Linked DNA regions of Saccharomyces cerevisiae S288C. The protein of the gene in region 1 binds, or shares a complex with, the protein of each later gene. Each region holds a gene or a part of one and is shown in the gene's direction. Other genes may lie near its edges. The genes, in order: RSM27, PET123, MRP51 and MRP4.

The links.
Region 2: RSM27 (region 1) and PET123 share a complex: the UniProt entries of both Saccharomyces cerevisiae proteins name them as parts of the mitochondrial small ribosomal subunit.
Region 3: RSM27 (region 1) and MRP51 share a complex: the UniProt entries of both Saccharomyces cerevisiae proteins name them as parts of the mitochondrial small ribosomal subunit.
Region 4: RSM27 (region 1) and MRP4 share a complex: the UniProt entries of both Saccharomyces cerevisiae proteins name them as parts of the mitochondrial small ribosomal subunit.

What each region holds. Positions count from the first base shown.
Region 1 is NC_001139.9:919,363-924,365, forward strand, and holds RSM27 (mitochondrial 37S ribosomal protein mS33 RSM27), read left to right. Parts: upstream 1-2,812; coding exon 2,813-3,145; downstream 3,146-5,003. Other genes in the region: RTA1 (Rta1p), read right to left, coding at 1-103; 40S ribosomal protein uS2 RPS0A, read left to right, coding at 1,213-1,302, 1,758-2,426; GPI1 (phosphatidylinositol N-acetylglucosaminyltransferase), read right to left, coding at 3,271-5,003. UniProt on the Saccharomyces cerevisiae protein: Component of the mitochondrial ribosome (mitoribosome), a dedicated translation machinery responsible for the synthesis of mitochondrial genome-encoded proteins, including at least some of the essential transmembrane subunits of the mitochondrial respiratory chain.
Region 2 is NC_001147.6:630,626-635,846, forward strand, and holds PET123 (mitochondrial 37S ribosomal protein mS26 PET123), read left to right. Parts: upstream 1-1,538; coding exon 1,539-2,495; downstream 2,496-5,221. Other genes in the region: PUP1 (proteasome core particle subunit beta 2), read right to left, coding at 341-1,126; mRNA splicing protein SME1, read right to left, coding at 2,657-2,941; mRNA transport regulator MTR10, read left to right, coding at 3,214-5,221. UniProt on the Saccharomyces cerevisiae protein: Component of the mitochondrial ribosome (mitoribosome), a dedicated translation machinery responsible for the synthesis of mitochondrial genome-encoded proteins, including at least some of the essential transmembrane subunits of the mitochondrial respiratory chain.
Region 3 is NC_001148.4:323,846-329,466, forward strand, and holds MRP51 (mitochondrial 37S ribosomal protein bS1m MRP51), read left to right. Parts: upstream 1-2,782; coding exon 2,783-3,817; downstream 3,818-5,621. Other genes in the region: YPL119C-A (uncharacterized protein), read right to left, coding at 179-442; putative DEAD-box ATP-dependent RNA helicase DBP1, read right to left, coding at 566-2,419; isopentenyl-diphosphate delta-isomerase IDI1, read right to left, coding at 4,019-4,885. UniProt on the Saccharomyces cerevisiae protein: Component of the mitochondrial ribosome (mitoribosome), a dedicated translation machinery responsible for the synthesis of mitochondrial genome-encoded proteins, including at least some of the essential transmembrane subunits of the mitochondrial respiratory chain.
Region 4 is NC_001140.6:96,727-100,903, forward strand, and holds MRP4 (mitochondrial 37S ribosomal protein uS2m MRP4), read left to right. Parts: upstream 1-2,492; coding exon 2,493-3,677; downstream 3,678-4,177. Other genes in the region: mitogen-activated protein kinase kinase kinase kinase STE20, read right to left, coding at 1-1,211; SHU1 (Shu1p), read right to left, coding at 1,617-2,069; YHL005C (uncharacterized protein), read right to left, coding at 2,102-2,494; sphingosine N-acyltransferase LAG1, read right to left, coding at 3,922-4,177. UniProt on the Saccharomyces cerevisiae protein: Component of the mitochondrial ribosome (mitoribosome), a dedicated translation machinery responsible for the synthesis of mitochondrial genome-encoded proteins, including at least some of the essential transmembrane subunits of the mitochondrial respiratory chain.

The sequences.
Region 1 (5,003 bases):
AAATTACAAATGCTACCCCTGATACTGCAAAAAGTACCGTAAAAAGTATACTCGCACCTAATTCCGGAGTGTATCTATATAACTCGAAGCCGTCTTTTGCCATGTTCGAAGTGGTGAAAAGTGCTGACTGTCTATTACATACTTTTACAGGGTTTATTATTATAGAATGAAACAGGCAAGGTATCTTATCCCTTTATTATGAAAACTATATATACGCATAAGTCTTTTGCTGCATGATAAGCCCCTTCCCAAGAATATGACAACCTCTTATTGTTCTTTTCACCAAAGATCCACGGAACTCATCTTTAGCAAGTGAGGCTTGAAATATCACAGATATCATTGTGAATACCGCATTGAGCAGATTGTTGACAGCGGGCATCTTACTAACAGGCGCAATCTAAAGAAGCCGCGAAAAAAAAAAGAACACGCTAAACGATTCACCCATGCCAGCCAAGTGTAGATTTGTTTGTAGAGGAAAACAGTTGATGAGCAATTTACAGTGTTTTTTTATCTTAGTAATATTCATCAAAATTCATAGGAAATAGTCAATGATGCATGTCTGAAAACAAAACGACCTATATACCTTATTGTGGCTTGTAAAGTTTAAACTTAAAAATAAACTTTCTTTTTGAATGATAGATATTTCCGCTTTTGGATGCGCTTCACAAGAATAGAAGCAAAAAGTCCGGTTAAAATTGAAATATGATAAAAACCCAAACATATTAAAAAACCCAGACATAAAGAAAAAAACTTTGAAAAAAAAAGTATTATGCCGCTGAGCGCGCCACGTTAAAAGCTCGAATTCTTCGCATTGGTAGTAGCGCAAAGTCCAATGAGCGCACCTCAAGTGAGAAACGCAGGCCCAGAGATTCTCCAGGCAGGAAGGAATTGGGACAGATCCTGCCTGGAGGGATGGAGGAATTTACTTCGTAGGCTGGAACAGGCTCATCTCAGCCAACGATTGTAAATGTGCAGGGCCATCGTTACAATCCTGCGCACCCTACCATGGATACCAGAATCCCGTCGTGTTCCCAATTGTGAGTAGTACAGTGGCCTGCTGCCGGGCAGATAGTAGCAGGGCAGGACACTTGCCAGATCCCGTAGCAAGGATGCTTATAATATATCGAAATGTAGCATTGTTAGTTTACTTCGTAAACTGCCCTTGTAGAGTGAGGTATAGCTTAGAAAATAGCAAACTAAATAGAGAGCGAAATGTCCTTACCAGCTACTTTTGACTTGACTCCAGAAGATGCCCAACTTTTGTTGGCTGCTAACACTCACTTAGGTGCTAGAAACGTTCAAGTATGTTATACTCATTCCCGATTATATAATAGAGTAATGTGTGATTGAAAACAGTTCGAGTGAAAGAATAGCCACAACCAGGTTTCCCGCCAACCAAACGGAATGCTGGGATAGCATTTTTCAGGCTGAATAAGAAGAGAAATATATGAACAATCATTAAAACAGTTTGAAACTCCAGCTAATTATCAGCGAATATTTTGCCAATAGACTTTCTAATTGTATTATGTTATTAAATTTTAAATCGCTAATGAAAAAAAAAAACAAACCTTTGGTATTAAACCTCTTTCAATGAAATCAATTAATTCCGGTACCTATTCTTCCGACGCTGTTAGCCAACTATAAATGCCATTTTTTCATAGTACATTAATTTGAATCAGTTGATCATTCACAGCATATACCAAGTGTACGTTTTTGAATCTTTTATACTAACTTTTTCTTCTTTAATTTTGTTTCAGGTTCACCAAGAACCATATGTTTTCAACGCAAGACCAGATGGTGTCCACGTTATCAACGTTGGTAAGACCTGGGAAAAATTGGTTTTGGCTGCCAGAATCATCGCTGCCATTCCAAACCCAGAAGACGTTGTTGCCATCTCTTCCAGAACTTTCGGTCAAAGGGCTGTTTTGAAGTTCGCTGCCCACACCGGTGCTACCCCAATCGCCGGTAGATTCACTCCAGGTTCTTTCACCAATTATATCACCCGTTCTTTCAAGGAACCAAGATTAGTTATTGTCACCGACCCAAGATCAGATGCTCAAGCCATCAAGGAAGCTTCTTACGTTAACATCCCTGTCATTGCTCTAACTGATCTTGACTCTCCATCAGAATTCGTCGATGTCGCTATCCCATGTAACAACAGAGGTAAGCACTCCATTGGTTTAATCTGGTACTTATTGGCTAGAGAAGTTTTGAGACTAAGAGGTGCTTTAGTTGACAGAACTCAACCATGGTCCATCATGCCAGATTTGTACTTCTACAGAGACCCTGAAGAAGTTGAACAACAAGTTGCTGAAGAAGCTACCACCGAAGAAGCTGGTGAAGAAGAAGCCAAGGAAGAGGTTACCGAAGAGCAAGCTGAAGCTACTGAATGGGCTGAAGAAAATGCTGACAACGTCGAGTGGTAAGTAAGGTGATATTTACAAATAGTATATTAATAATTATAGTATAATGTTTTATTAGAATAACAGATTTCTTTATCAATTTAGCGGCTAAATAAAAATCAAGAAAAAAGAAATACATTCATTGTGTCATCTTGTCACACATTTAGCCATGTACTTTATTTGCTGAGAAGTTTAATCAATTGAGAGTAGTTAGCTATTGTAGTAAAAATGTGCAAATGAAGTCTTATCAACACGTAGCGTATATAGTGATCTAAAACAGTTAGAAATATAATAAGCGAACTTCTAAACCATTTTAGAGCACATAGCCATGGAGAATAGGTACTTGTTTTGACCCGCTCGACGAAGTGGTACGTAGTGATTGCGTGGATTAGTTTATCATAAGACTTTCAATGAACGTACCAAAGGCGAGACTCCTAAAAGTAGCAGAGTTATCTGCGAAGATATTTGATCAAAATTTCAACCCATCAGGTATAAGAACCGGTTCTAAGATTCTAAATGAGCGATTAAAGGGCCCTTCTGTGGCAAGCTACTACGGCAATCCGGATATCCTGAAGTTCAGACATTTGAAAACATTATATCCTGATATTGAATTTGTAGACCTTGAGGAGCAATATCGATTATCTATGGTAGAAGCAAAGAAACGTCGTGGTAAAGGTGCTCCTAAGAAGATGAAGAAGGATGCAGCTGCAACTGCAAAGGGGAAGGGGAAGAAAAAAAAATGATTGGAGCACCCTTACTAAAAAAAATATTCATTATGTAGAAACTCATTTCATGTACATACAAAATCAAAAATAAAACAACAAATAGCTGAAGCAAGAAAACGCTACTTTACTTATAAAAGAAAACGTTATGCCTGAATAGTCAGCCTTTTGTATAAATCCTTTACACTCAATGGCTTACTAGGCAGTGAAGAATAAAGAACATAGTACAGCTTATTTCTATTGACCATTATAGACTCCCCTCGGACAATCTTTCGTACAGTAGCAAACGAGAAATAATTTGTCCTCATTTGCGACAACAATAGATTGTATGGTCTGAACATACTCTTGAATTTAATAGGATTGTTTTGAAGTTCTAAGGTTGTATGCTTGTTAGAAACCGTGGTTTTGAGCTCAATTGAAATGCCACCGGGTAGACGTTTAGGATCTTTTAACCTAAGTAATAATGCGAACAATGGAAAATGGTTAATGAGTGCAATGACAGCTTCCGAGAATATTTCGATAGTTATTGTTAGCATTCTCAAAACTGTGTATGACATATAGAATGCCATCACTGTGGGAGTCAAGAACACTAGAATAATAAATAATAATGTTCCCAATAGCAATTGATCTAGTTGAAAATAGTTATGGTCAATCCTATTTCGTAAAACGTTCCTCTTTTTACCGCAGAACAGGTTAAAAAGACTAGCCATAATATTCAACTGACAATGGTACAGTTTACTGCTGATACGATAAAAAACATATATTGGAAAACTTAAAATTGCAAAAAAATCAATCGCTAGGGAAACAGCAAAAGAAAAGCCAACGAGAAACATCATATATATCGTTAACGTGAGCAAAGATGATAGGGTTTTCGGATCAATGAGTCTTTTTATGAATGTGGTATAAGAAAATTCTATCACCCAAAGAAATAATTCGCTCAAAAAGTTCGCAAGTTCTGCATTTAATTTGATGCCAAGGGGGTTATTTGCTAACGTTTCAGTTATTGTTTTTAATGAATCATATAAAAAAAACTTCAATACTCTATGGGATGCCGACACCAAGAAATCTCGATTCTCAATAAGTATGGCCCCCAATATTAAACCAAATGAAATGTCATTAATAATAAGCCAAATTGTATTATACAATAAAATATAATCGGGATAGAATTTAGAAGGCATATATGAATGTGAGAATTGACTATTAGAATTATCTTTTTCCACCATAGAGCCAACATTCTGTATGTTATCCTTCTTATTAATACGCTCATACTGTACTGGGAAATAGCAAATTTGTTGACAACGAAGATCGATTTGCTGGACAAATGCCGAGTAATTTACCAACTGAAAGTGCGAATAATTTAATAACGAGGATACGAGACTAGCAATAGAGCAGATCACAAAAGTCAAATAAAAACCAATTTTTGCGACCATTTTATAAATACAAGTAGATGAACACCAAGCTGCGACACTATTAAGCATAGTACCCCTCAAATTTTCCTGTGATGTTTGAATAAACGGGTAAAGCTCATTTAATGCTTTACAATATGCGGGGAATAGATTAATGATGTTCAAAGTTTCACTCAATTTCTTATTATCTCTCTTGTATCTTGGATGTTGCTCTAATTTAGAATAGTTCAGAGTTTCACCCACACTACTATGAAGACCAACTTCTTTTTCTGGTATGATGAGCGAGATGGGATCAGAAGAATAGAATTGCATAAATTTCAGCTTGGGTATTCTAAAATGGACATTACAGGGATCAGCAACTTTGTAGTTCCAACCCTCCGCTCCATTGTTCTTAGTAGCTACCACTGAATAAGGGGGCCGTATGCTTACTTCTTCTAAATACTGAGGTTCGCAAACACCTAAGACAACAAAAT
Region 2 (5,221 bases), on another chromosome or scaffold:
CCCTTTAAAGACCAACAAACGGATGACTATAGAAATGTTAATTTTAGTGTTATGTTATATGTGTGGTACTGAGCTGTGTTTGTTATATTATGCTCTGTGTGATAAAATAGCTAAAATGGATGGATAAATTAACACGAAAATTAACGAACAAAAATCAACTAACACACTTCAAAGCATAAAAAAAAGAAAAAAGAAAAAGAATCAAGAACAAATAATAAGCTCTGCTATAAGAAAATATATTATGTAAATAGTTTTGCGGTTAGTTTTTGACTTCCTTTATCACATTTTGTTGAACAATGATTTACTATACTAAAATATACTTAAGTTCTATGTTTTACTTTCAAGCCGTTATATCGACTTGTTCTTCTTGTATGTCACAAATATTGACAATACTCTCCTTCAGCACAGCAGTTGTACCCCTGGGGAATTTGTAGCTTTTCTGCTTTTCTTCTCTAACATTTGGAGTCAAGTAATTCCTCAAGTATTCTGCATCTTTACCTATTTCCATGACACACACATCCACATTAGAACCAGACCCCAAATCATTCCAGATACCAGCCTGGATTGCATCAGAGGCCAACTTTATGGCTTCCTCCTTCGTAAGGTCTTGCTTCCAGTGTGATTCCAACACAGCCATTGCCGCTAGAGAACCAGATCCTAGAGAAAGGTAGTAGCCCACGTCAGTAGAACCATGCGCATGAATGGAGAACAAATGAGATCCCGTAGGGTCTACACCTGCAACAATCAAATAAGCACCAATATGACCTTGGTACTTAAATAGGTGCTGCTTTAGCATTTGTAAAGCTGAGACCACTCTTGGTTCTCTCGAGGTATATAAGGAATGTAATTCAATGTTAGACCCGATCAACTGCGTAACTGCCTCAGTATCGGCGGCGGTACCGGCACCAGCACACCATATTTTGGGGGAAATTCTATGCAATTTTGCGCAATTCTTATCTGCGACAATTGGACCTTGTGTTGATCTTGTATCTGCTGCAATCACCACTCCGTTATTGAATTTTACGCCTACAATGGTGGTACCCGTGGAAGTTGCCTTAGGTTGTGTGTGCGAGTTTTCCGCTAAGAAATTATTTCTTTGATAATTGTCGAACGATAAACCTGCCATGCTCACTCAATTCTATTTTCTACAATCAGGTTTATGTGGGGGGAGTATTCCTGAAAAAATTTAACGCTTTACTATACAAACTCTCCACCTCAACTGATCACCCTTCTGCTGAATTATTAGTTTATCCTTTTCATCTTTCTTTTTGGTATTTTGCCACTCGGCCGGGTTATAAAATACGAAACATGGCCCTAATTTACCCGCTTTTACAATAAAGGGTTTGTAATGAGGGTAAAAATATTGGCCCTAATGAAAAATCACTAGCAACGGAAGTGCAAGTAGAACCCTGAAGTCGCCGAGTAGGAAAGTGATTCCCAAGAGGAGTAGAATAAAGAAGAGAATCTACATATGGATTATTTAGGTAATAGTTTCATTGCTGATTGTCAACAACAATAATAACAAGGATAATTGAAGTATGGGGAAAGGTGCGGCCAAGTATGGTTTTAAAAGTGGGGTTTTCCCCACAACAAGGTCCATTCTGAAGAGCCCCACTACAAAGCAGACTGATATTATTAATAAGGTAAAATCACCCAAGCCCAAGGGTGTTCTTGGTATTGGGTATGCCAAAGGTGTAAAACATCCAAAAGGATCACATAGATTATCACCCAAGGTAAACTTTATCGACGTGGATAATCTCATTGCGAAGACCGTTGCTGAACCCCAGAGTATAAAATCCAGTAACGGTTCAGCACAGAAAGTGAGATTACAAAAAGCTGAATTAAGAAGAAAGTTTTTGATTGAAGCATTTCGCAAGGAAGAGGCTAGGCTATTACACAAACACGAGTATTTGCAGAAGAGGACAAAGGAACTGGAAAAAGCAAAAGAACTGGAGCTAGAAAAACTAAATAAGGAAAAATCTTCAGACTTGACTATTATGACTCTAGACAAAATGATGTCTCAACCTCTTTTAAGGAACAGATCACCAGAAGAGAGCGAATTGTTGAAGTTGAAAAGGAATTACAATCGATCGTTGTTGAACTTTCAGGCGCACAAGAAAAAGCTAAACGAATTATTAAACCTCTACCATGTCGCTAATGAATTCATCGTTACAGAATCCCAACTACTAAAGAAAATTGATAAGGTTTTTAACGATGAAACGGAGGAATTCACTGATGCCTATGATGTAACTTCTAACTTCACGCAATTTGGAAATAGAAAATTATTACTTTCAGGTAACACCACCCTACAAACCCAAATTAACAACGCAATAATGGGCTCTTTGTCAAACGAAAAGTTTTTCGATATTTCTTTAGTGGATTCATATCTGAACAAGGATTTAAAAAACATTTCCAATAAAATTGATTCCAAATTAAACCCCACCTCTAATGGAGCTGGAAATAATGGTAATAATAATAATACAACCAACTTGTAAATAACTAATATATATACTACTTCAACATGTCATGTATTCGAAAGTGCCTTAGACGCATTACAACTAAAGAAAAGAAGAAAAAAAAATCAAATCGAGAATAAATATGCCCATGTATATACGTCACTTGCGAATTGTCTATTTCTCTCGTTCCCCTTTTTCTTTCAGTCCGCTGATGTTATCAATGTGATATTATCGCCTTTCAACAGGATCTTCCCCAAGGGCGTGCCCTTCTCCACATCTTCTTTACCATCGGCACTATTCACAGGAATTTCCACGGCTTCATCGATGACAACATTCATGAACTCATCAAATCCAACTATTTTACCCTTGATTCTTATGCCGATTTGCTCGAATAACCATATCGTTACTGGTGTTTGCTGTTGTAAGAAGTTAAATATGCAATTTATTGGTGGCACCATGGCCTTGGTTTTAACTTTGTTCGACATTCCAAGCCTCTTGTTTTTCGCTCTATATCCTTCCTGTGTTCCTTAATCTCCTTTCCTTAGTATTATCTCTTACCTTTACCATCTATTATTGTTATTTCACTTCAATTTTCTATTTCTCTGTTAGATGCTCAGGCTTTCGGTATAATTGAAAAAAATTTTCGAACATAAGGGATATTGACAAAAAAATAAATGAAGGAAAAAGGCATGAAAATACTCGTTGACAGATCAGTATCAAGGATTTATTGAGGATATACTAAGGATTAACTTGCGTTATGGACAACTTACAGGTATCTGATATAGAAACTGCTTTACAATGCATATCGTCTACTGCATCTCAAGATGATAAAAACAAAGCGCTTCAATTTTTAGAACAATTCCAAAGATCAACTGTTGCCTGGTCTATTTGCAATGAAATATTGTCTAAAGAAGATCCTACAAACGCTCTTCTAGAATTAAATATTTTTGCTGCGCAAACTTTAAGGAATAAAGTCACATATGATCTATCACAATTAGAAAATAATCTACCACAATTCAAGGATTCTTTGTTGACGCTTTTATTATCGCATAACCAAAAATTGATTATTACACAACTGAATGTCGCGTTAGCACGTTTGGCGATCCAATTTTTAGAATGGCAGAATCCAATTTTCGAGATCATTTCATTGTTGAATTCTTCACCATCTATATTATTAAACTTTTTAAGAATTTTACCTGAGGAAACCTTAGACATTGCATCTACTTCCTTGACAGAAGTGGAATTCAATTCCAGAATTCATGAACTAATTGATCCGATAGCAGAAGATGTATTGAAATTCCTTGTATCATGCATAGACCTATTACAAAATACAGACGGGAATTCCAGCTCATCTATTTCATTAGAACAAATTTTACGGTGTTTGAACTCTTGGTCGTATGAATTCCCTGTTGAACAGTTGCTAACCGTACAACCCTTAATAAATCTCGTGTTTGAAACTATTTCCAATGGTAATGAAAGTGACATGGAGGCATTCGATTCCGCTATTGATTGTCTCTGCGTTATCCTCAGAGAAAGCAGAGATACTACTAATGAGCAGTTGATTTCTGCTTTATTTCATCAGTTAATGCTTTTACAAGAAAAACTATTGCCTACTCTGTTCACAGACCATCCTTTGAACGATGAATATGATGACGATCTCCTAGAAGGTATGACACGATTATTCGTAGAAGCTGGCGAGGCTTGGTCAGTTGTCATTTCTAAAAACCCCGATTTTTTTAAACCAATGGTTTTGGTATTATTGATGTTGACCTGCAAAAATGAAGACTTAGATGTCGTTTCCTATACTTTCCCCTTTTGGTTTAACTTCAAACAAAGTTTAGTTTTGCCAAGATATCAAGAATCAAGAAAAGCTTACTCTGATATTTTTGTTAAATTAATAAATGGTATAATTACTCATTTACAATATCCATCAGGCCAGTTTTCATCTAAAGAGGAAGAAGATAAATTTAAAGATTTCAGGTATCATATGGGCGATGTGTTAAAAGACTGTACTGCAGTGGTGGGAACTTCTGAGGCTTTATCGCAACCACTAATAAGAATTAAGTCCGCAATAGAAAACAACAATAGCTGGCAAATAATGGAAGCCCCATTATTTTCCCTGAGGACTATGGCTAAAGAAATTTCGTTGACTGAAAACACTATATTGCCAGAAATCATTAAAATCATTTGTAACCTTCCAGAGCAGGCCAAGATTAGGTATGCATCAACATTAGTTCTTGGTAGATATACCGAATGGACAGCCAAGCATCCAGAACTACTAGAAGTTCAATTGCAATATATTTTTAACGGTTTTCAACTGCATGAGGGTTCATCGGATATGCAAAGTATAATCACTGCATCATCACATGCATTAATGTTCTTCTGTTCGGACTGCTCTAAACTATTAGTTGGGTATATTGATCAGTTGATTAATTTCTTCCTCAACGTGCAGAGTTCGATTGATATTGAGTCACAATTTGAACTATGTCAAGGATTAAGTGCAGTAATAAATAATCAGCCAGAGGCCAAAGTTTCAGTAATATTTCAAAAGCTCGTAGATGATAATTTGCGACAAATCGAGGCTTTGATTCCTCAATGGAAAGCAAATCCAACGCTCTTGGCTCCACAGATTGCTGATAAGATTGATTTGCTATATGCGCTTTTTGAAGAATTGAAACCGAGATACAATTATCCTCAGCAAGGATCGGAACCTTTACTCCCCAGGATAGAATTTATTTGGAAGGCATTAAGAACTCTGCTAGTTG
Region 3 (5,621 bases), on another chromosome or scaffold:
CTTTTTTTATGCGTGCAACTTTAAATGCTTTCATACATTTCCTTGGTCTTTCATCAGATGATATGCCAGATATCAACAATTATAGACCTAATATAACATTGAGTTATTTTTTACACGTATAATAATAACTCCTTCTCCGGCAATGAATATTTTGCTTCCAAATTGCAAAATTCAAGATTTAATTATAAAAACTCTGAAGTAATAGACCACCTATTTCAAAAATATTCCGTATTTTTCCCTCTCTATAAAAACAAAGGGCTTCCAAAATATCCATTCCAATAAACGGTAAACTCACCCATTTATGATTGGGACAAGAGCAAAAAAAAAGGAAATTGGGAAAAAAAAAGAGAAAGAAAGCAACAGAATAAAGGGAACTTGATAAAACTGAAGTACCGTGGGTCAAGTAGCGTGAAAGAGTCAATTCATCGACTAATGGATGCATAAAACGTATGACTGTATAGTACTGGAGTGAAAACGAAGAGATAAAGAAAGGAAAAAGGGAGATTAATAAAAAGAAAAAAATTAAAGGAGTTCTATATTTGGATTAGTCTTTTATTCTTTCTGCTTACCACCATGAAGCGTTGCTATTTCCGTAACCGTTTTTCTCATTATCATTTCTAAACCCACCTCCAATCGAACCCCAATTTGATGTTCCAGTATTCCTTGGCCTCGTGCTCCCAAATGAGCCATTTCCACCATGTTTACGGTAGTCTCTTGAACCGTTATTACGACTATTGAAAAAACCTCCTCCTCCCCTAGTTCTTCCACCTCTTGAATTCTGTCTTGACAGGTCACTTAAAAACGTGGGAACTTCTTGATTCGCTTCATTTAAAATTTCCATCAAACCCTTCACAATATTCTGATTATTACTATTGAAGAATGAAGTAGCCACGCCTGTGTTACCAGCACGGCCTGTTCTACCAATTCTGTGAACGTAGTCATCGATGTCGGAGGGCAAATCATAATTAATGACATGTGTGACATTCGGTATATCCAAACCTCTCGCTGCTACAGCTGTTGCGACCAGGATATCAGCTACGTTAGCTTTGAAAGCAGATAAGGCACGTTCACGTTCAGCCTGTGTGCGGTCACCATGTATGGCTGTAGCTTTGAAATTTTGCATGATCAAAAAATCTGTGAGTTGATCCGCCATTCTTTTCGTTTCAACAAAAATCAATGTCAATCCCTTATGCTCTGCAGACAGTAAATCTAACAACGCAGACTTTTTGTCCATGTCATCGACATATAATATTCTTTGCGTGATATTTTCTGAGGTGGAACCGACTCTTCCTACTGATAAAAAAATATAATTATCTAAGAAATCGCGTGCCAAATGCTGGATATCTACTGGGAATGTGGCGGAAAACATCAAGGTCTGTCTATTTTCCACAGAGGGCATATCACATTCTTCAACTATATGGCGAATTTGGGGTTCGAATCCCATATCTAGCATTCTATCAGCCTCATCCAATACCAGGTATTTGATATTAGCCAAAGAAACTTTTCCGCGTTCTAATAAGTCATTCAGCCGCCCTGGTGTAGCCACCAATAAGTCACAGCCGCGGTCAACCTCCCTCATCTGGTTACCGATTGGCGCGCCACCATAAACAACGCATGGCCTAACCCAAGATCTATACGTAAATTTTCTTGCTTCTTCAAAAATTTGGGTAGCCAATTCTCTAGTTGGTGCAAGTACTAAAGCAGATGGATATCCCTTTCTAGAATAAAAGCTCTGTGCTTTCTCGGGTACTGGAGAGGGCCCAGACCTGAATAGCTCCGTGAAGAGCGGAAACAAAAACCCACCTGTCTTACCTGAGCCCGTTTGTGCGCATGCCATCAAATCCCTACCTTTGGTAACTATTGGAATAGAATATTTTTGTACTGGAGTAGGTTTGGTGAAACTAGCAAGTTTGATATTTTCCATTAACAGCTCATCCAGAGGGGGAGAACTAAAATCTAGTATAGGTTCAGGAACATCTTTTCCAGATGCATCTACGGGAATATTATCGTAATTATCAAACTTTATACCAGATGAATGGTAATCGGGATCGTCGTGTACACCAAACAGTTCGGCTTCTAATTTCGCGTTCTTAGGCCCCGGTATATGCTTGCCATTTACCCATCTATTTCCAGATGATTTGTAATTTGAGCTGCCTCCGCGGTTATAGTTCGCACTCGTCCCTCCATTTCTTTCCTTAGAAAAGCCAAAAAACCCGCCATTGTTCCCAGTTTGCCTTCCAGCACGTCTGAAAAAATCACCACCCGTAACCTTATCTTCCTGTTTTGGGGTACTTCTTTCGAATGATGGTTTTCCTCTACTTCTCAAGTGCGGTGGGACATAAGATGATTTGCCGCCACCACCACCATTCTCTTTGTTGTTGATGCTTAAATTAGATACCTTCTGTGGCAAGTCTGCCATTTTTTCTTGTAATACTTTCACTCAAAGGGGTTTTTCTTAAAATATCCTTTAACTGACACTACCGATATCTTTTATAATCATGAATAATCCTTGTTATAAAATAAAGGCATTACTTCAGAGATGACCTTAAGTAACCTTCCCTTAAAATTGTTAAAGAACTCGCGGGGTAATATTTACGTTGACAGTGATATTTGTTTTGAGAAATCAAAGAATGAAGAACTTAGATGTAGAGTTAAAGGAGCAATACGAATAGGTGCCGTGATGAAGAAAAAAAATCATACAGACATTTGCTACAACCCTTGGTGAGACTGTTTCGATCATTTTTCTTTTTCTTTTTCTTTATTTTAGAAAAAATTGAACGAAATGACATTGGCAGAGTTGCTTGGACGGTCGAGAATAGCTCAAGTAGCTAACAATCATAAACCATTGACATACACTGGCAAAAAATTTCATCCAACACATCAAATCATCGAAACTAAGCCATCGACACTATACAGACAAGAATGGGGGTTGAAATCCGCTATTCCTTCGAAAATTAAATCTCGATATTTGGTGTACAACGATTTGGATACGTTGGAAAGAATTACCACATTCGAACCTAGAGGCGGTACGCAATGGAATAGGCTAAGATTTCAAGAAATGGGAGTACCAATTGTGTCTAATATAGGCAGACAAAATCCATTTTTCAAGTACATATCTCGTCCTGAGGATGAGTCTCATGCTAAATTGTCCTTATTCAAAGAAATGAAAGGAGATACAGATATTTCGCCTGCTGCTATGAAGAAGCGTTTGAAGAAGATAACAGCACTAATTAGATCGTTTCAAGATGAATTTAAAGAGTGGCTGGTGGAAAATCATCCGGATGAATTGAAATTGAATTCTAATAAGCTGGAAGACTATGTAGTGAAGTTTCTAAACAAAAAGTTGGAAACAAAAACGAATAAAAAATTTAACACTGAAATCATTGGTACAGGTGGATTATCATACAGCTTGCCAGGAAAGCTAAAAAACTCACCAAATGGTGTCATTCAAAGGACTGTAGTACCCGGTAGAATCTTGAACGTTGTTAAGGAGAACAACGACAATAAATGGCTGGCAGCTATTGGTGGGTTTGTGGCCGATGTGGTATTTTTCCAATCACCACCTAGTTCCTTTAACTCCATGGGAGATTTCATCAGAATGAAAACGTTCTTGTTCGAGATCTTGGAGGCATCTATGGAGAAAAATGGTTCTGTTTCGATGCACGCTAGATTACTCGAACCACAAAATGACAAGACCAGAGAATTTTTCAATAAGAGACCAATTTATAAACCATTGACCTCTAGAAGGGCACGTCGACCATCAGTGGGAAACATTCAAGAGGCCAATAACCTTTTGAATATAATCAAGGGAAATTGAGAAGAGAAAAAAAAAATGTGAACAATCAATGTATATTCAGAGTTCTGTAAATAAATAAAGAAAATAAAGTTTACATATTACTAAGGATTTTTGTCGCCTATTTTTACTATTTTTCAGGTGAAATGAAACGTTTTATATCACATTTTGCTATGATAACAAAGTTATTATGATTTTTATGTAGCCTATATTATTGACGCGTTGTTATAGCATTCTATGAATTTGCCTGTCATTTTCCACTTCAGAAAGGTCATCTAATTGCTCCCACCAGTTGAATAAGTAATTCTCGCAAATAATCTTAAACCAAGGCGTAAACTTGTAACTTGGGTCAGCAAACATAGTTTTCAAATCATTTGGTGAAACCCATTTGAAGTCTCTAACTTCATTGACGTTTGGGTTGACAGTCAAGTTTTCTTTAGCGTTGATCTTATAAAATAGGATGTAATCAATTTCATGTTCACCCCATGGTTCATTGCTTGGTGCCATGTAATGGATTCTGTTTAAAAAGTGAAACTTACCCCTTGTCTTAGTTTCATCTTCTGGAATACCTAATTCATGATCTAGTTTTCTCACCGCCGCAGTAATAGCGCCCTTAATCTTATCGTCTAGCTTACCCTTCAAACCTAATTCGTCATCAATACATAGTGGATGAGAGCAGCATGTGTTAGTCCAAAGATCAGGGAAAGTTATTTTTTCAGTGGCTCTTTGTTGTAAAAGTAATTCACCTTGTTCATTGAAAATAAAGACGGAGAATGCACGATGTAGTAAACCCTTTTCAATATTTTCCATTAAATGACAAACTTTCTTGGTACCGGCACCAATAGCATTATCGTCCCAATCCAAAACAATACAATTTTCATTCATTAACTTAATTTGCTCCTCATCATGACCAGAAAAACATGTTTCTCCGCTTTCGTCATTTGACGTCTCACTAGATCGGGTATTAGGTCTTTGTTGTAATGGAATAATTTCAGGAAACTCTTCCAAAATGTCTTCAGGTGTTTGGTTTTGCACTAATTTGGCGTAACTAGATACTGCACCATGGGGCATACTATTGTTGTCGGCAGTCATTGAGGTGTAATGAATTTTTGGCTTATTTTTACTCTTCCTGTATTCCAAATACGAATACTCTAATATTGAATTAAGTGGGATATACGCCTTCTTGTCACTAGAAAACTGTTTCCTGTTAAATAGATAAAAATGAATAAATAAATATAAATGGAGTTAAGACCGAAAAAGAAAGGCAACCCCCATCGACAAGAAAAGAGTTATGAATAATCATGTTTCTTAATAACAATTAAAGGGAAAAGAATCGGCTGGGCATCGTCATTGCGAAACTGTTGACTGGAAAAATTTCAATCACAATTAAGTTTTGTCCATTTCGTTCCAGCAAGAACGGAAACTTTTACCGATAGCAGCGGAAAAAAAGAAAAAAGAAAAAAAAAAGAAATTAATATAGGCAAAATAGCCGCATGAAGCCCTTAATAACCTATACTATTCTGTGACTGTTATTTATTTACCCTCGTAATATTAAAAATGTCCTATACAATTTCTGTAATAAAACCTAATTTTTTTAGGACCCTTGAGTGTTACCCTGCTCATGTTTTTATTTTTGTTTTAGAGAAATGTAAACAACAGTTTGGGAAAGTTTCAAGAATTGTAAACAACTAATCAAGGGATAATACTATTTTACTCTTTCCTTTAAACATGAAGAACTATTTTTTGTTTACGTTTTTTTCTGAATTGAACAATAAGATCTTGTTAATTTTTTTATCGCTTGATCTATTATCAGATCTTCTCTTTTGAA
Region 4 (4,177 bases), on another chromosome or scaffold:
TTATCTTCACCGTTTGTTTCCGTGACATCCTGATAGAATTTGACAATATCCATGACTGCTTGCATGTTTTGCTGTTGTTCTCTTTTGGAAATACCACTAGAAGTCAACAATTTTTCCCATTCCTCCGGCAAACCTGTGTACTCACCAGTCTTGGAGTCCACGCCCACATGGTGGATATGCTTGGCATTGTATGGCGTAGATATCCTCAAAGCGGTGGTTATAGAAGATGAGGAAGAATTATTGGACGACGATGAGGCCCTTTTATCATCCTGAGAATTTCTCTTTATATTCTGTACAAAGGACGTAAAGACATCTTTCATTCTTAGTGTACCACTATTTGAACCGCTTTTCCTTTTTTTCGAAGAGGAAGAATAATACGATTTTTCTGTTTGCTTTTTAGGTGGAGAGGAGTTTTTTAAAGGATTTTTCGAAGGAAAGCTTTTTTTCACAGAAACCGGTTTACTTTTTGCTTCAGGCTTGGACGGTTTAACTTTTGGTTTATGTTGCTTATGCTTAGGGTTCGAAAGCGAATGGGAAGCTGAATTGATCTGTCTTGGCGTGGTTGTCATCGATGGTTTAGAGATAACGGGAGTGGACACTGGTGTAGCCCTTCGTATATCAGTGGAGCTCTTATTCGAGTTTACTGTGGAAGATGCAACTGGCTGCTGGTGCTTCACTGTCGCGTTATTTTCTATAGTTTCTGTAGAATCTGTTAACGACAGTTTTGATAGTAAAGTGTCATTAAACTGGTGATCTGACTCGGACGCATTTATGGTAGAAAATGTGTTGTCAGCAGAATGATCCGGGGTTATATTGCTGGTATTTATGTTTGGAGTGACTGCTTCTAGAGATTTGGTTTCATCGATGTTAGAATGAGGACTCATGGATGAAGACATTCCACTGATGACAGAGGAGGAAGATACTCGGGTAAATTGAATAGGATCATCTAGTGAAACGACATTATTGTCATCATCATTGGTTGTCTCCGCGTTCTTCGCAGGATCCATGGATTTGTATCCACCAGCTTCATGGGCAGCATTAGTGCCTTTTTGTAAGGCATTGACGTTCAAAGTTCCAGTGGTCCTTGGTAATCGTAATCCATCGCCGCCATCGCCATTGCCGCCCATGGCCCTTTCATTGTCATTGCTGATACCGTTATCAAGACTGTCCTTGTCTGGTAGTTCCGATACAGCAGATGGATCATTGCTCATTTCTTGTATTAGTCGAGGATCTTGTGGGATATTTAGGATGGGGTGTGAGGCAGTGAAGGGAAGAAGTTTGGGTTGCTTGCTACCTCGCTCTAATTGTACGTACGGATGTATGTCTTTAAGAAAGTATGTAAGTGTGTGTAGTATGTGAGTATCTATGTAAGCATGCGTTGCTAATGCGAATTTACGGATGCCTCTTTTTGGTTTCGTATTTTTCCTCTCTGGCCAGGTGACTTTCTGAATTTTTCAGCTGCCAAAAGCGGTAGACTTTCGAATTCCCTCTCTTGGCCGTGTTTCGGGCCACGAGGCGAAAATTTTTTTTTTTTAATCGAAAAAAAAAGGAAAAAAAGATTAACGTTTCTTTTTCGTTCTATCGTCTTCTACGATATCGCATGTAACACAATGCAGCTATCTGATAATATGGTCCCAGAATCGCAATAGCCGGGCAGGCACGCTACTAGAAGGCGGTTCTGGATAGAATTCAACTTTAGATGGCAGACTGAGGCACTGCCGTAACACAAGGCTAAGTAGCCGCAGCTGTTGCGGTCCATCTTGTGTCGCGGTGAGATCCCACAATCCATAGACGAGTACATTAGAGTATTGCGGACCATTCGCCTGCGCTTGCATCCGGGTGAGGTACATGTATAAGTACTTTACCCGGCCCAAAAAAACTACGGATACCCGCTCCCGGCTTGCCACGTGACCTGCCACAGTGTTCGTAGTCACGTGCTCCTTCAGTCCTCCTAACTCTACGTACTTCCTGGCAGTGTCTCCAAGGACTATCACCAGTACGTTTGGGCTTGACTGATCCAGGCTCCAATCGCTTTCTACTAGCTGTTGCAACCGCTCTTCAAACTGCATATTGTATCCTGCTGCTGCTGTTGTTGCACCCGTTATTGCACCTGAGCATTAATATATGCGTATATGTATCTATCTATGTATATGTGTATGTGTAATATGTATACGTTTATGTTAATGCATAAACTGTAATGAAACGAATACTCACCCGCTTGCTCTCTCTCACGTATAACACACGCATACTGCCCTATTTTCCTGTTTATCTCGGTAAGAAAAGGCCGTGCCGGGTCAGAAAAGAGTGCAAGAAAAAAATCAATTCGGTAAGTGAATCCGAGAGATGAAATTTGTATGTCGTAGGTCACTGCTATATTTGATGGTAAATAATAATCAGTTCTGGCAAGTGTACATACGCTCGAGAGCCTGATTATCGCGGGGCACAAATACAGGTGATTCGAGAAATAAAAAGTGAGAAACGACTCTTTTCTCATGCAGAGACACGTTTTTGCGAGGAATTTCAGACGTCTTTCCTTATTGAGGAACCCTTCCCTTACCAAAAGGTTTCAGTCGTCAGCATCCGGTGCGGCCAACACCCCTAACAATAACGATGAGGTGATGCTGTTGCAACAGAAACTTTTGTATGATGAAATTAGATCAGAATTGAAGTCTCTATCTCAGGTACCAGAAGATGAAATATTACCTGAGTTGAAAAAGTCATTAGAGCAAGACAAACTCTCTGACAAAGAACAGCAGCTGGAGGCTGAATTGAGTGACTTTTTCAGAAATTATGCTCTGTTGAACAAGTTGTTTGACAGCAAGACATTAGATGGACAATCTTCTACAACGACAGCAGCAGCCACGCCAACCAAGCCTTACCCTAACCTTATACCTTCGGCCAATGACAAACCATATTCCTCTCAAGAACTTTTCTTGCGTCAACTAAACCATTCCATGCGTACCGCTAAATTGGGTGCCACTATTTCGAAGGTTTACTATCCTCATAAGGACATTTTCTATCCGCCCCTCCCAGAAAACATTACTGTTGAGAGCTTAATGTCTGCTGGTGTTCACTTGGGCCAGTCTACCTCACTTTGGAGGTCTTCCACACAATCCTACATATACGGTGAATATAAAGGTATTCACATAATAGATCTAAACCAAACTTTGTCCTATTTGAAGAGAGCCGCCAAGGTAGTAGAGGGCGTTTCGGAATCCGGTGGCATTATCCTATTTCTGGGTACAAGACAAGGCCAGAAAAGAGGGCTCGAGGAAGCTGCTAAGAAGACACATGGTTATTATGTGTCTACCAGATGGATCCCGGGTACTTTGACGAATTCTACAGAAATTTCAGGTATCTGGGAGAAGCAGGAAATCGACTCTAATGACAATCCCACCGAAAGAGCGTTATCACCGAATGAAACATCAAAGCAGGTTAAGCCTGACTTGCTGGTCGTATTAAATCCCACAGAAAATAGAAACGCTTTGTTAGAAGCAATTAAATCAAGGGTCCCAACTATCGCAATCATCGATACTGACTCCGAACCTTCTTTGGTGACCTACCCTATCCCAGGTAACGATGATTCATTGAGATCTGTCAATTTCTTACTAGGAGTCTTGGCGAGAGCTGGCCAAAGAGGCTTGCAAAATCGCTTGGCCAGAAATAACGAAAAATGAACACTTTTATTTTCTTTTGGCTTGTTAACCTAAACTTGTACATATGCCCATATATCCTTAAATATATATATATAGCCAACCCGAAGACGCTAAATAAACGCATTTTTTTTTTTTTTTACAGAATTATTACTTTCGTACTTGGGTTTATGCTTCTTATAACAACAACTATGAGCTATACCATGTTAACTTGGCCTTCATACAGGGGGGAAATCATATGATGATACGTATTCTCCTTAAGATACGTTTATTCACACTTTTCCTTAGATTCTTCATTTTCAGCGCTCTCATCAGAATCACTGTCACTTCTTTCGTCCTTTTGGATACCTTGCCATATCAATCTGTACAAGATTCTAAGAATTAAAAACAGCCAATACAGGTTAACTAATTGTAACGCAGCAATTAGTACAAATACAATTGGCAACGAAATCCAACATTTGTATTGTTGTGTGGCAAAATTCAACACATAATTACCTTCATGACGGAATTCTGTTAAGACTGAC